Arabidopsis thaliana: one gene and its partners. The protein of the gene in region 2 interacts with the protein of the main gene of each other region in a pairwise test. Each region holds a gene or a part of one and is shown on either strand. Other genes may lie near its edges.

What was found.
Region 1: the proteins of INO (region 2) and IDD14 interact in binary tests that used the Arabidopsis thaliana proteins (3 or more experiments, as listed by UniProt).
Region 3: the proteins of INO (region 2) and ERF4 interact in binary tests that used the Arabidopsis thaliana proteins (3 or more experiments, as listed by UniProt).

What each region holds. Positions count from the first base shown.
Region 1 is NC_003070.9:25,530,021-25,535,241, reverse strand, and holds IDD14 (indeterminate(ID)-domain 14), read right to left. Parts: upstream 3,235-5,221; 5' UTR 2,759-3,234; coding exon 2,608-2,758; exon of another isoform or gene 2,507-2,607; coding exon 2,104-2,506; intron 1,631-2,103; coding exon 925-1,630; 3' UTR 564-924; downstream 1-563. UniProt on the Arabidopsis thaliana protein: Transcription factor regulating starch metabolism by binding directly to the promoter of QQS. The IDD14beta isoform attenuates the transcription factor activity by competitively forming heterodimers with reduced DNA-binding capacity.
Region 2 is NC_003070.9:8,315,751-8,320,041, reverse strand, and holds INO (Plant-specific transcription factor YABBY family protein), read right to left. Parts: upstream 2,746-4,291; 5' UTR 2,713-2,745; coding exon 2,518-2,712; intron 2,421-2,517; coding exon 2,283-2,420; intron 2,182-2,282; coding exon 2,031-2,181; intron 1,938-2,030; coding exon 1,889-1,937; intron 1,770-1,888; coding exon 1,694-1,769; intron 1,558-1,693; coding exon 1,459-1,557; intron 1,019-1,458; coding exon 938-1,018; 3' UTR 551-937; downstream 1-550. UniProt on the Arabidopsis thaliana protein: Essential for the formation and the abaxial-adaxial asymmetric growth of the ovule outer integument.
Region 3 is NC_003074.8:5,119,707-5,123,125, reverse strand, and holds ERF4 (ethylene responsive element binding factor 4), read right to left. Parts: upstream 1,705-3,419; 5' UTR 1,655-1,704; coding exon 986-1,654; 3' UTR 564-985; downstream 1-563.

The sequences.
Region 1 (5,221 bases), about 17 Mb from region 2:
AAAGTCCACAGAGATCAAAATTGGTTTTTTTTCTTCTATAAACCTAAAGTTTAATCGAGAAAACCAAATCAGTTTGTTGTTGCATTAGCTCTTTCTTGTTTTTTTTTTTAAATATCTTTTTTTTGGTGGTATATTCTACAAACTCTCTCATACTTTATTAATGAATTCAAATTCATTAAAAAAAATATTATTATTATGTGTTTGAAAAACACATCAAACTATAAGGGTCAAAAGATATCTCATGAGATTTTGTCTTCACGTAAAAATATATGATTTCTTGTTTGGTCACATTGAGACCAAAAACCCACAAAATCCAAATAAAATCTACAATTAATCGAATTAGATTTTAATATTTTACCATTCAATTAGACGATTTCAAACTACAGTCTACACGGACGTGGGATATGGAGCGAATTGTTTCTAGTTTCTACCTGAGAATTTGACTCACGATTTGACCTAATTATTATCCCTTGCATTTAATGCAAATAATTGACTGAAAAGAAAAGAAAAATGCAGATATTCGTGTGAACAATAGGAATTGGTAATACTTTTAAGTCACAATAGTTCAACTATAAAATCCAAAACACTCAAAGTCTCAAACCAAACTGAAAATTAAGATCAGTTATCTCTATGGAAAAACAACATTTCTGTAGCTAACTAATTAACGAATGCTTGAGAATTATAACCCGTTCATTACATTACGTTAACCAACAGACCCAAGACAATTCATACAACAAAAACTATTCTCTTCTTTGGTTTTTGTTTGAGAGAAAAAAAATCAAACCCCCAGTGAATACCCAAACCTGGTAACCCACAAACCAAGAATATGTAAGAAAACCAACGAATATCAAAAGATGATCTTTAATTCCAATCAAAGAAAAAAAAGAAGAATATTTGTTTTCTTTTGTGTTCTCTCTTCAAGGTCTATGAAGATGCTCTATCACTCGCCTTTTCTCCTTCGGTAGTCGCCGAAGACATGTAGCTCACGGCCAGAGACGTGCTCTCATCGGTACAATGCGTCTGAGGAGGAGGAGGAACCAAAGCAGCCGGAGCTTGAAAATGTTGCTTGCAATTGTGGCAAGTTATTTGCATCATCGTTGCACTAATCCTCCTACTTGCTTCTTCTCTAAAAAGATGAGCTTTGTGAAGCTCAGCTCTCGCATGTTGCCTTATTCTCTTGGCTTCAGCAAACTCCAATTCCGCGATTTCGATCTGCCTCTTTGTTTCTCTTCTCGCCTCCTCTCTTTCTAGGCTCGTTTCTCCCTTCTCGTAGCTCTTCTTCTCAACTTCCGACATTGTCTTTTGATCCATTGTCCCTATAGACAGACTAAGGCTGGTCTCATCAGCACAATTCCTCGATGGAAGTAGCTGAAGCTCGATACTACCATTAGTAACGAAGGGATAGAGCAAAGTGGATGGTTGTTGTTCCGACGGTGGGGATTGTCTTCTTTGTAAAGGATGTCCAGGCAATATAGGACCAATGGAGAGGTCCCCGTTCTCGTTGTTTTCCGCGGTTGAAGCGGTTTGTGTAGCGTTTGTGGTATGTTGTTGCTGCTCATGTAAACGGTGGTTGGAGGGTTGGGATCGGCGTACGGTGCAAGTGTCTTGGTGCTCTATGAAACTTTCCACTCTGAGAAATAAGAGTGTATTATATAAGTTAAACTAAAATGGAAAGCACAAAGGAATATTTGTATCTCGTGACAGATAATATAAATAATTAAGTTAGTGGAGTTAGGTATCTTTTGGATTATATATTTGAGTATGAGATATGCAAGACTTCGAGGTTTAGTATGGTATATACTTAACAAAGTTTGATAATGAAATCTATTATGGGGTCAACGTGAGTAATCAAAACATAGTTCCTAATTATTAAATTAATTAAAAGTATTTTCAGACAACAGTACATCCAAACAAACCTCATCAGGTTCCATTAGTAAACGTTGTTTCAAGATCTATGTGCGTTATCTAAAAATCAAAACATGGACACGCCATACTAGAAAAAACATTCTTTGATTTACTTTAAGGATTCCGATAAATATATATCCTAAATATATAATAAAAATAAAAATTAAAAAGCTAGGGTTTGTTACTAAGGAATGGAACCTGGAAAAAACTCGGCCGCAGTCACAGGAGTGGCCGCGAGTGCCACAGGTTTTGAGATGAGCTTTGTAATCAGATTGAACTGCGTAGCCTTTTGAGCATCGCTCGCAGATCCATTGCTTGTGGTTACTATGTTTCCGTCGGAAGTGTTTCTTGATTCCCACGAGATCTCCGAGCGCGTGGCAAGGGTTGTGGTGGAGACATGTCGGCTCCGGACAGACGTAGACTCTTTTCCTCACTTCCTCGTTGGTCTCTCTTTTAAGAAGCTTCCATGGAACTTTATGTCGTCTTCTATGCATCTGTAGATTCTGGTCCCTTTGAAACCCTTGGTTACAGATCTCACATACGTACCGATCCGATTCTAGTAACGTTCTTGGTGATAAAGATACCACCTCCGCCTCCGGATCTGCCACCGGATAAATCAAAATCTTTAACAGAACTATTTGATAACTTTCCGGATATAGAATCTAACAACTAGTAATTCTTGATAAGAAAATTGTTAAATACCCGGTGTCCCGGCGGGTCTCCGTTTCCGCTTCTGAGTCACGGCGGTTCCATTACCGTCGGGAAGAAGATCAGAGGAAGATGAAGATGGAGGAGGGTTGTGATGATGGGTGTTGATGTTCTTGGTGGTATTGCTTCTCTCGTAGTCTATCATCGGATGAGGTTTTTAATCTCTTCTCTTTTTGTATTTTATCTCAAGACAGTGTGGTTTATAGTGAGAGAGGTACTGTGACTAAATGAAAAATAAGAACAAAATTGAGGAATCTTTTGTTTTTCATGTAGAGAAAGAAGGAGAGATTGTTTTTTATGTTTCCTTATTTATTTGGTAGAGAGAGTACTCATCTTTACTAATAGAAGAAGAAAGTATAAGATGAGTTAAGAGAGAGAAACAAAGGGCTTTGTTTTTCTGAAATCATCTTTATTTTTTTTCTCACATAAAGGGATAATAGCTTTTCTGTTCCCTTTTACTATCCAACTTTTTATAATTTTCTTGGAAAAGAAAAAAATAAATGAAACTTTCAACTTTTTGTTAATTGTTTCATTGACCTCTCACCTTAGATGGAGAAATGCATTGTATGGTCTTTGGTGCTTCAATCTTCTTCAGAGTAGTTATGAACCTCTCTCTTCTCTATCTGTACACTGTTTGTTTACAAACACAAAACATATCTATGGAGAGAGATGTTTATACATATAAAGAGAGTGGGACAAGGAGCTTGGAGCCCACATTAGCATCAGGACAAGAAACAAAAAAACATCCCCTTCCACTACACAACAATTACAAGTCATTATTATTTCATATCATAAAATATTCGATCAGAGTGAGTAAGTTTTGTTTTTCAAAGATAAATAAAAAAAAGGATAGGTGAAAAATATAAACGGAATCTTGGAAATTTGATGTTTAACAGTACATGTTTTTTAATGGTGACAAATGTATATATGTGTAGCCTTTAGCTATAGGGCTGGTGTAAATTAAAAAGGGAAGGGACTTGAGAATATTTGTTTTGAATATAAGACACATGCATATACCCAATTTATGTTTCCGTATATATACAAATATACAATGTGGTGCCATCATCTCATGCCTTTTTATATAAGAAATAGGTTTTAATCAAATATGAATACTGTGCCCACAAGTGAGACGAATCAGAAAATTTCCAATATATAGTTTTTCTTACAAGAAAAACAAAAAACAAACACAAAACCCTAGAGTCAGATCTGGTTTTTGAGTGTCAGCTGAGACCAATTCTATATAACATCTCAAACAAAAGAAAAATTAGAGATCTGGAATATGTTCGAAAGAATTTTCTTTATTAAAAAACATGTCTATAAAAGTGTGTGTGTGTGTGTGTGTTGTGCGTATAACATATACTTAAAGTCCACCACCATCTCATTAAAGGGCATTTGTCTATCCAAGTGGAACTGTAAGAAAATTGAAGTAAATACAAATTTTTTTAAAAGTTTTATTTTTCATTAAAAAATAAAAAGAGAAACAAAAAGAAGATGATACTTTATTAATAGGAAGAGAAAGGAGATGGTTGAGTTGGAAAGAATGGGTGGGAGGATGGGGGAGATGGATTCTCATCACATGCAATGCTTTTTTTTCTTTTTTTGTAAAGTTGGATATATCAAAACTTTCACAATCGCATTCTTACTTAAGAAATTAGGATAATAGTCACCTCTTTCCTTTATTTAAGGAATATATGCAGTAAAGAACCCTCTATTTGGCAAAAATAATGGATAAAAATCATACTTAAATTCGATTATTTATTTTGTGTTTTCTTTAGAAAATAAAAGGATTTTATGGGTATATTTGAAAATAACACACTAATTAATTTATTTGACACTACGTTATATATATATATATATATATAGTTTTGTTATCCTATTCTTTTGTAAATTAAACTCCACTATGATCATGTAGCAACTTCACCCTCGTCCAAATTACTCGTTTAACTAGTTTATTTAATTGCGTGAACTCAATTCACTACCTTAATTAGTTTTTTTTAGTTGTTGACTTGTATTACCTTGAATTTACCCCGGTCTTTAGACTTAGCATTATCTATAACTCTTTTTTTTGTTAATACTACTCATTAAATTAGAAAAAATGGAGTAGTATTTATGTATTTATATGAAACAAATAATAGCACCCGAAAACCATTTAGTGGAGCTGTACACTGAAACCTGAGGCATTTGTCTCGTTCGCTCTTGTTGCTATCTGAAAGTTGCAACTTCAAAAGTAAAATTGACATTTTTTAGATTTCACTGAAACCCAAAACGGAGAGTATTGACTTTAATGTAGCCTTTTACAGAAATTACTTACATACATGAAAAAGTAGTATGTGCCAATGTTACGCGTAGCCTATAGGAACCAAAGTAAAATACAAAATTCCAAATAAAAGAAACTAAACTGGCGAACGAAAGAAAAGTTTTGGAAATTAATCCCTGTAAAAGAAAAACAAGAACACTAGAATTATAAAGCATTGCAGGTGATGTTGTCTTCTACAAACAATTTTCTTTAATAAAGTAGATATATATACACTCGTCCAAAACAACACTTCAATTCGTTTTGTTGATATATATACACAATTCAATATCAAGAACAAAATCGCTAAAATAA
Region 2 (4,291 bases):
CATATTCTTTAATTCGCCGATTCCGGGAGTGTAGGTGTGACTTGTCGTCTTTGGCCTAGTTCTTCTCGCCGGTATGGATTCCTTGGAACTCTTCTATGTAAGGTAGTCTTCATCGTAATAGGTGGCACCGCTGTCCGTTTGGTTGGGAGTTCCTTGTCTCCTACGGAGTGGCTTGTTGTAAAGCTCTGCCTTTCCTTTGTCTGGTAATGTGGTTGACGAGATGTTGTGTTTAAAATTTTGGTTGTTTTGGTCTGCTTCTTTGTTTCAGTTTCGCAACTTTGCTTTGTTTGTAAGGTTTGTTTTGCCTTGTTGTCTCCCTTTCCTTTGGGTTTTGCTTCCAAGACTATCCTTTTAATCGTCGGCTTAGTTTTCTGGTGTTACTTGTTAACCGCCGGCTTTATATTTCACTTTTGTATTTCACCGGAATCTCTATAATAAATTTTCAGACGACAAAAAAAAAAAGTAACTTAGAAAGGTCAAATGTCAAAACAAAAAGTGTTTTTTTTTTAGTAAGTGTTTTTCTCCATCGTACGTACAAAAGCATTGAGCGCGCGAAGTCAAGAAGGATCTTTATTATGATAGGTTAACAAAGATTCTTACTAAAGTACTGTTTCATGGAATGTTAAAACATTCATGGAATAAGAGTAGTCATGAATGCAAAAGTAGAATTTTTTTTATAGAGTCAATGCATGTCTCTTCAAATTAAGTTCAAAGTTGACAAGTACTACGAAATTACTGAACAAACTCGCTCATTCCCAAGGACTCTTCTCGAACACACACAAATCCTACTTCCGTTTCAGATTCTTCTTCTCTCTATCTCTCTCCAACAACAGAAACCCTAAACCAACATAATCAAACCCTAGAAGAAAAGAGTCACCATCACATGTCATACGCCATTATTTATTTTTTTGTTAAATTTTCATATCCCAAATTGTTATTACTCAAATGGAGATTTTCCCCAAATGGAATGCCTCTGAGCCTTTCTCTCTCGGAACCCATTATTGCTTTCTTCATGGTCCTGCATCACAAACATTTCAACAATTATTTGGTATATTAATTGAAAACTATACATATTCAGCTTCAATGTTTTAAATTAGTTGAATGGGTTTCTATAAAAGTAAACTGTGTGCAGTGTAAGCTTCAATACTATAAAAGGGTTTAGGTCATAAATTTCACACATTGTAGTAGTTGAAGATCAATGATATATTCTCACAATCTCACTTACCCTTCTCCTTGCTTTCACTCTAATAATTAGTAAATGATTTCTCTTTATATAATTAGTCTAGCTAGGGTTCTGAAATTTTGACTGAGAGCGATGCTATTTGGATCTAGTTAATGCTTTAATTATTTGGTTTGCTTTGGAAAATGACACTTGTTGTGGAGTTTACTTGTCAAGAATATGGTAATTGATTTTGAAGCGAAAGTGATTAAAAAATATAAATGGTTGCTGAGGATTACCTCAAAAACATTGCATGGTAGTATCGCATTGTTATCTTCCTCACAAAAACATTGATCTGAAGCAGCTCTCTTGTTGTGAGCTGGAGGAAAATGGGCCCACTTCGCCATCCCCAAATCAAAAAATTGAAATCATAAAATGTTATTAGCTAACTCGATCTGTCAATTAAGCTAACAAAAAGATGAAAACTATATTAGGGTTTTCTTTTAAATCTTAAGACTAATTAAGCTTAAGTACATTTTTGGCAGCTAAGCTGAAAGCTTCCTTGTGAGCCATGCTTGGATTCTGAGCCTTTAACCTCCTGATCTCTTCCCTGCTCCAATACAACCCCCAAAGAAGAACCATTTTACAAACTCAAAACCTTAAGTGGTTAAATTTGTAAGAATATATATAATATACATACACATGTAATGTGTTGAATTTATTTCTTACTTGATGAAGCAATTGTAAGCTGAAGGAGCTCTTTGTCGCTTCTCAGGTGCTATATATATACAAACTCAAAACATAATTAGACGACTGATGAAAGGAGAAATCGCAAAACTAAAGTTTAAGTTGAATTTATACTCAAACGTACGTTTATTGACAACTTGGTAAACACGAGACACATCTTCATCTTCATTGTCTGAAGATGAAACCAAAGTCGTTGGACTGTTCTCCTTCTCCTGATTCACCTTCCATGCTTCTTCTTCCACACCATCTGTAGCTGCAACCTCCTCTTTCCCGGTCTGCACATATATTTACATATAATCAAAAGTAAGTATATATATATATATATTGGTCATATTTAGATGGTGTGTGTTTGTCTATGTATAGATGTTATGGAAACCTCATCAAGATGGGAGAGAGAAGCAAGGAGATGGAGAGGAATGAAGGAAGCCTTCATCAAATTGACAGAGAGAAGGCTTGTGCAATGCCCACATCTCACAGTCACCACCATTGACAAGCTTGTAAACGGTACACTCACCTGCAACACATTTACACTCATTAAACTCATGATCATATATATAAAGAGAGGAAGGGAGAAAGGAAGGGAGAGAATAAGAGAAGAAGTTAAGGTATACCAGCAAAATAGTGGTGCAAAAACCACACTGGACATGGCAAATCTGCCCCGGCAGATCAAATAGATGGTTGAGTGTTGTCGTCATGTTGGGGAGCTTTGTCATAGAGAGTGTGTGTGTACGATGAATGATAGGAGATATATGTGTGTGTGTGTGTGTGTATATATAGACAGAGAGATAGGTTTTGTTAATATTCATTAATGCAAATATGTAATTATATTTATATCTTTCATGTGGAATGCTTTGGTTATATGCTAAAATGCACAATACAATTCAACTTATGTACGTCTCTATCTCACTTGTAATAATTGGAATCTTCATAGTCTCTATGAGCTGTAAGCAGTAAATGATTCTCATTCTTTCTATTAATCACATTCCTAACTCCTTAATATTCAAACTACATTTTCTTCTCTAAAATAAAATAAAATAAAATGATGTATATAATACTTTTGTTGATGATGGAGTTTAATTAAGAATTTTCGTTATACAAAAGCATTGTTATAAGATTTTTATGTTATGTCACACTCACAAAATATATATGACAAATGATACATAACGTTTGAGCGTTTACCATTAGAGGAGACATTTTTTGTTGTCAAAACAATTTAAAACACTTAATAACCTATAAACAGAAAATATATAAGCTCCCTTCAAAAACCATTTCAGGATTTTTCTGATAAATAAGCATACAAGATAATATGTGTTATTGTAAGATAACACTAGGTTAAACAAAAAAATAACAAGAGATAAAAATCGATGGTAAAGAGTATGAGTATTAAAAATGAACATGTGAAAATGGAAAGGCACGTTGCACAAGAGGAGATAGATAGACATCGAAGAGAGCTGGGGTTAATAAATGATGTGATGTGGTGGTGTGGTTTGGTTTGCAAGTTAGAAAGAAAGAAAAAAACAAGTGAGGTTGAGAAAGAAATGCCTCTTTGTCTCATGTGTAGTTGTCTCTTTAAATGGGATTTAATGAATCTCTCACAAAACTCAACAGTCTTTTGGAGTTTTGGTTGAAGTGAGACTGAAAATGAAAGTGCAGTGAGTTGAGACTAGTGCGGGTGTTTCTAGGAGACTCATCACTTTTAGTAACTCGGAATCTTAGGATTTTGTCTTTCTTCTCTCACATTTTTGCTAACTGTTTCTTGACCATTTTACCCAAACTCTTCTCTCTCTCTCTCTCTCTATTTCTTCAAGTTTCAGTGCTTTCTCTCTGTGTCATGTTATTTCTACTGTCCCTCTCTTTATTGCTTTCTCTCTCTCTCACTTACTCTCATCTCCTATTTTGTGTTCAACCACAAGAAAAAGACTAAACATAATACTAATATTTACTCAATTTCCTACACATTTGTAATTTTTGTGTGGGTGGAATCCAATGCAATGACCCAACCCCGGAGTGAACAAGTTTCGACCCATTTTGAGAGATCACATAATTTACCGACCCATTAATAAGTTTCGATCCATTTTCATAAGCCTATTGATGAGTAATTGAGTAGGAGGTACACATTTGTGATTTGAGAGATTAGAGGTTAAAATTATACATTGTAATCATAGTTATGGCTTCTGGTTTAACAGTCTTTTACTCCATATATACTGATATACATCTCATTTCTAGTCTCAAACTTTTACATGACAGCTTATAGATTGGTCAAATCTCACTGTTAACATAAATAGAAGCTGTGAAATGACGATAAAATGTGCAAAGACAAACGCACGTTAATGTCAAACACATAATCAATATCTGAGAGAATTTAAACTTATCTTAGCAAACAAG
Region 3 (3,419 bases), on a different chromosome or scaffold from region 2:
GCTTTCAGATAAAAAAAACCAATATCTAGACTAGTCATAGTTGTTTCTTTAGAGACTTTGTGTACTCTTTTTCCATTTTTTGCCGACAAAAATTTGTTTACGAAACTAGAGATCTTTCTTAAAAAAAATTGAACAAAATCTTATCTTTGTTTTGTGGCAGTTTCTTTTCCAAATTTAAGAATCTATCAAATTAAAAATCTAGGTTCTCTCTGTCAGACCTAAAGAGTGTTAACTCTCAGCTTCAAGACTCTTCCAAGTTAGCTAGAAAGAAAAGAAATGAGTATGTCCGTACTCTGTGAGTGGACCCTACTACTAAGTGACGTAAGCGCAAAGAATTTTCTAACTTACGCCGCAGAGAGCAAAACGAGGGCCCACACACGCCGGCTGCGTGTCTGCTGGAAACTTGGACCATTGTTAAAAGCCGACGATACTCAACTACCATTTTATTAATCTCACTTTGAATTTTAGTTTTTCTTATACTTCAACTTACAATTATTTTGTTTTGTCAAATAAGTAATTTTAGTCCCTTCAATTTTTTTAATTTGGTGGTAACGATAGAAAAGGAAAGCCAATAGAAGGAGCCGCCACAACCCACAAGTAGTAATAATCAAAATTTCGGAAATTGGATTGGACAAGATAATTCTGAAGATTACCAAATTATTGATTGAAAATTTGGAAGAACAAAAAAAAAAAAAGTAGTAAAAAAAATAGAGAAACAACATGGGGTGAAACCAAGTCGCAAAAAATTAAAAGCACACAACAAAAGTTCAGATCTCCGGTTATGTAATAATATGTACATAACGATCCATGTCAGCTAAAATTATATTTTTCTCTCTCAGATTTAATCTGTTTTTTCTTTCTAAAAACTGGTAATAAATTTAGACTGAGAGAGAGAGAGAGGAAAAACTATGAGAAAACGAATTTTCACAGCTCAAAAAGAAGAAGAAACGCATGCGCTTCGAATTGAAACGACACCGTTAAAAGCTCAGGCCTGTTCCGATGGAGGAGGCAAATTAAGATCTAGATCTAACAGCTGAGATCTCTTCTCCATCCCACCTTCGAAATCAACGACCGATGACGAATCAGAGTCGCTTTGGGCACCACAAGCCATCTTCGTCGCAACATGCACCACCGGCGATCTAAACGCCGATGTCACAGGAGGAGGCTGACCACGACCTACGTTACCGATCCCCATCAGGTCCAAAAAGTAGACAGGACGCGACATCGGGATCTGATAACACGAGCCGCCGCCTCCTCCGCCGAGACTAAGCTCGAGCTGCGGGGGAACATTCCCAGCCGTCGCTGAAGGCACAACTAACGTCGGAGGAGAAGCACAGTCGAGCGTGCTGCTCTGGCTAGGGCTACGCGCGAAACCGGTAGGGACCTTCTGGTCACTCAGCTCGAGAAAAGTTGGGAAATTGGTCTTAGCCTTAGCACCACGAAAATCACGCGCCGCCGTATCGTAAGCACGCGCCGCCTCTTCAGCCGTATCGAAAGTGCCAAGCCAGACGCGGGTTTTCTTGCCCGGATCTCGGATCTCGGCGGCATAACGGCCCCAAGGACGCTTCCTAACGCCTCTGTAACGAATCTCCTTGGCATTATTGTGGGTCTGGTTAGTAGTAGCCGGGTCGGGTTTCAAGCCCATCTTGGCCATTCTCGGATAGATAGATTAGAGAGAGAGTGGTGGTGTGATAGATAATTGAAGGGAGAAGAGGAAAGGAGAGAGTTGTTTATATATAGGATGGGAGAGAGAGTAAAAGCGACGCTCCTTTTGGGGCGCTTTGTTGTGAACAGTCAAAGCCTGAAATGGTTTTAGCGGCTTCTCTTACAAAACACCAGCGGTTTTCATGGTTTTCTTTTTTACCTCCACTTATCTTTTGCCACGTGTTTTTCTTTCCTCTTTCAAAGAATTTTGTTTTTCTTATCAACCCTTCATTTCTTTTTTAACCTCACCAAGCGTTTTCAATTTTTGTTGATCATCTTATTAATGAATTTATTGATGTATTTAAAAAGTTGAATACATTGTCAAAAATATAGATACAAATTAAATACATTAATTTGATTGACTTTAATTTTAAAATAAAACTTTTTATCACTGGATCTTTAATTTAATTATTAATATTTGGCAATGAGAAAATTAATTGGACTATGTAATCTTTGCATTAAAGTTCTTAATGAAATAAGGATAAATTTTGAAATATAGATCTTACTATGATACATATTTAATCAATCCGTATTTTGAATGATTTATTTTGTGGTGGAAAATATTGGATGCAAAGTCTTTTTTTTTTTTTTTTGTGTAAACTATTTTATCTAAAAAGTGAAATTCATTTGTTATCTGTATGTACAATGTACTAACAAACTTTTGATACAATTTGTAACAAAAAAACTAAAGAAATCCGTACAGTATTTGACGCATTTAATGGAGATGCATGTTGTTTGCTGTTTTGTCTACACAGCGTATTCCCTTGAATGCTGGTGATAAGATTTTGATTTTCATAACCGAGGGAATTAAGAATGTAATCCCACATCTTAATTTAATATATATAGTTAATCTAACTACGAATTGTCATGTGCCATTTACCCTCATGATTTAGGATATAACTACACAAGCTTGCTCTAGTGAGTACACTTGTAATGAACTCAGTTTGTTTTCTCATAACCTGTTGGATCAACCTTAATGCTTGCATAATTGAGAAAAAAACTTGAACAAATATGTGAGTAACTAATTTTTCAGATCATATCAATTTTGTTTTCGTATCTCAAAACTTTTGGTTTAAAAAATACCCAATTTTTTGTAAGACCAATAAACAACTAAAGATACTGTTATGTGTGTAAAAATTTGAAAATACAGGTAAATAAAGTCATACTATATGGCAGTGTGAGTTAAAGACAAGAGTAACTTCAAAAACTAGGAAATAAGTTAAGCAGCGGCGCCTGAAAAGAAGAGAGAAGAAGAAACCAAAGAACAGTATTGGATGACGCAAAAATGTAAAATACGTGGCAACACCTTGAGGACGCGCGGCTTGGGAACCGCGTTTCCATGTACGAGCGTGAATCTCACCGCCAAACACGTGCCGACGGCGATCGCGTGAAAGAAAGAGCGTTATGCGTGACTTCGTAGACTCAGCTCCAAATTCAACTTGGAGTTTGACTGCTTTTTCTTTCGCGGAATAAAACTAAAATAAAAACAAAAGGCTATTTAGCCGCCCCTCCGCCAAAGAAAAACAAAGATGGCCCACAACGCACTCGCTATTTAAATAAAATAGAAAGAGTTTTAAAGATGTATAGTGCCACGTGGTCAACGCGACGCGTGGAGAATGGATGAAGAGAGAGAGAGAATGGTGGCCGCGTCGGCTAACCGAGAGAGATTCTAACGGCGGTGGGCCCGCCGTTTGTTTTGTTCTTTGTTTCCTAAA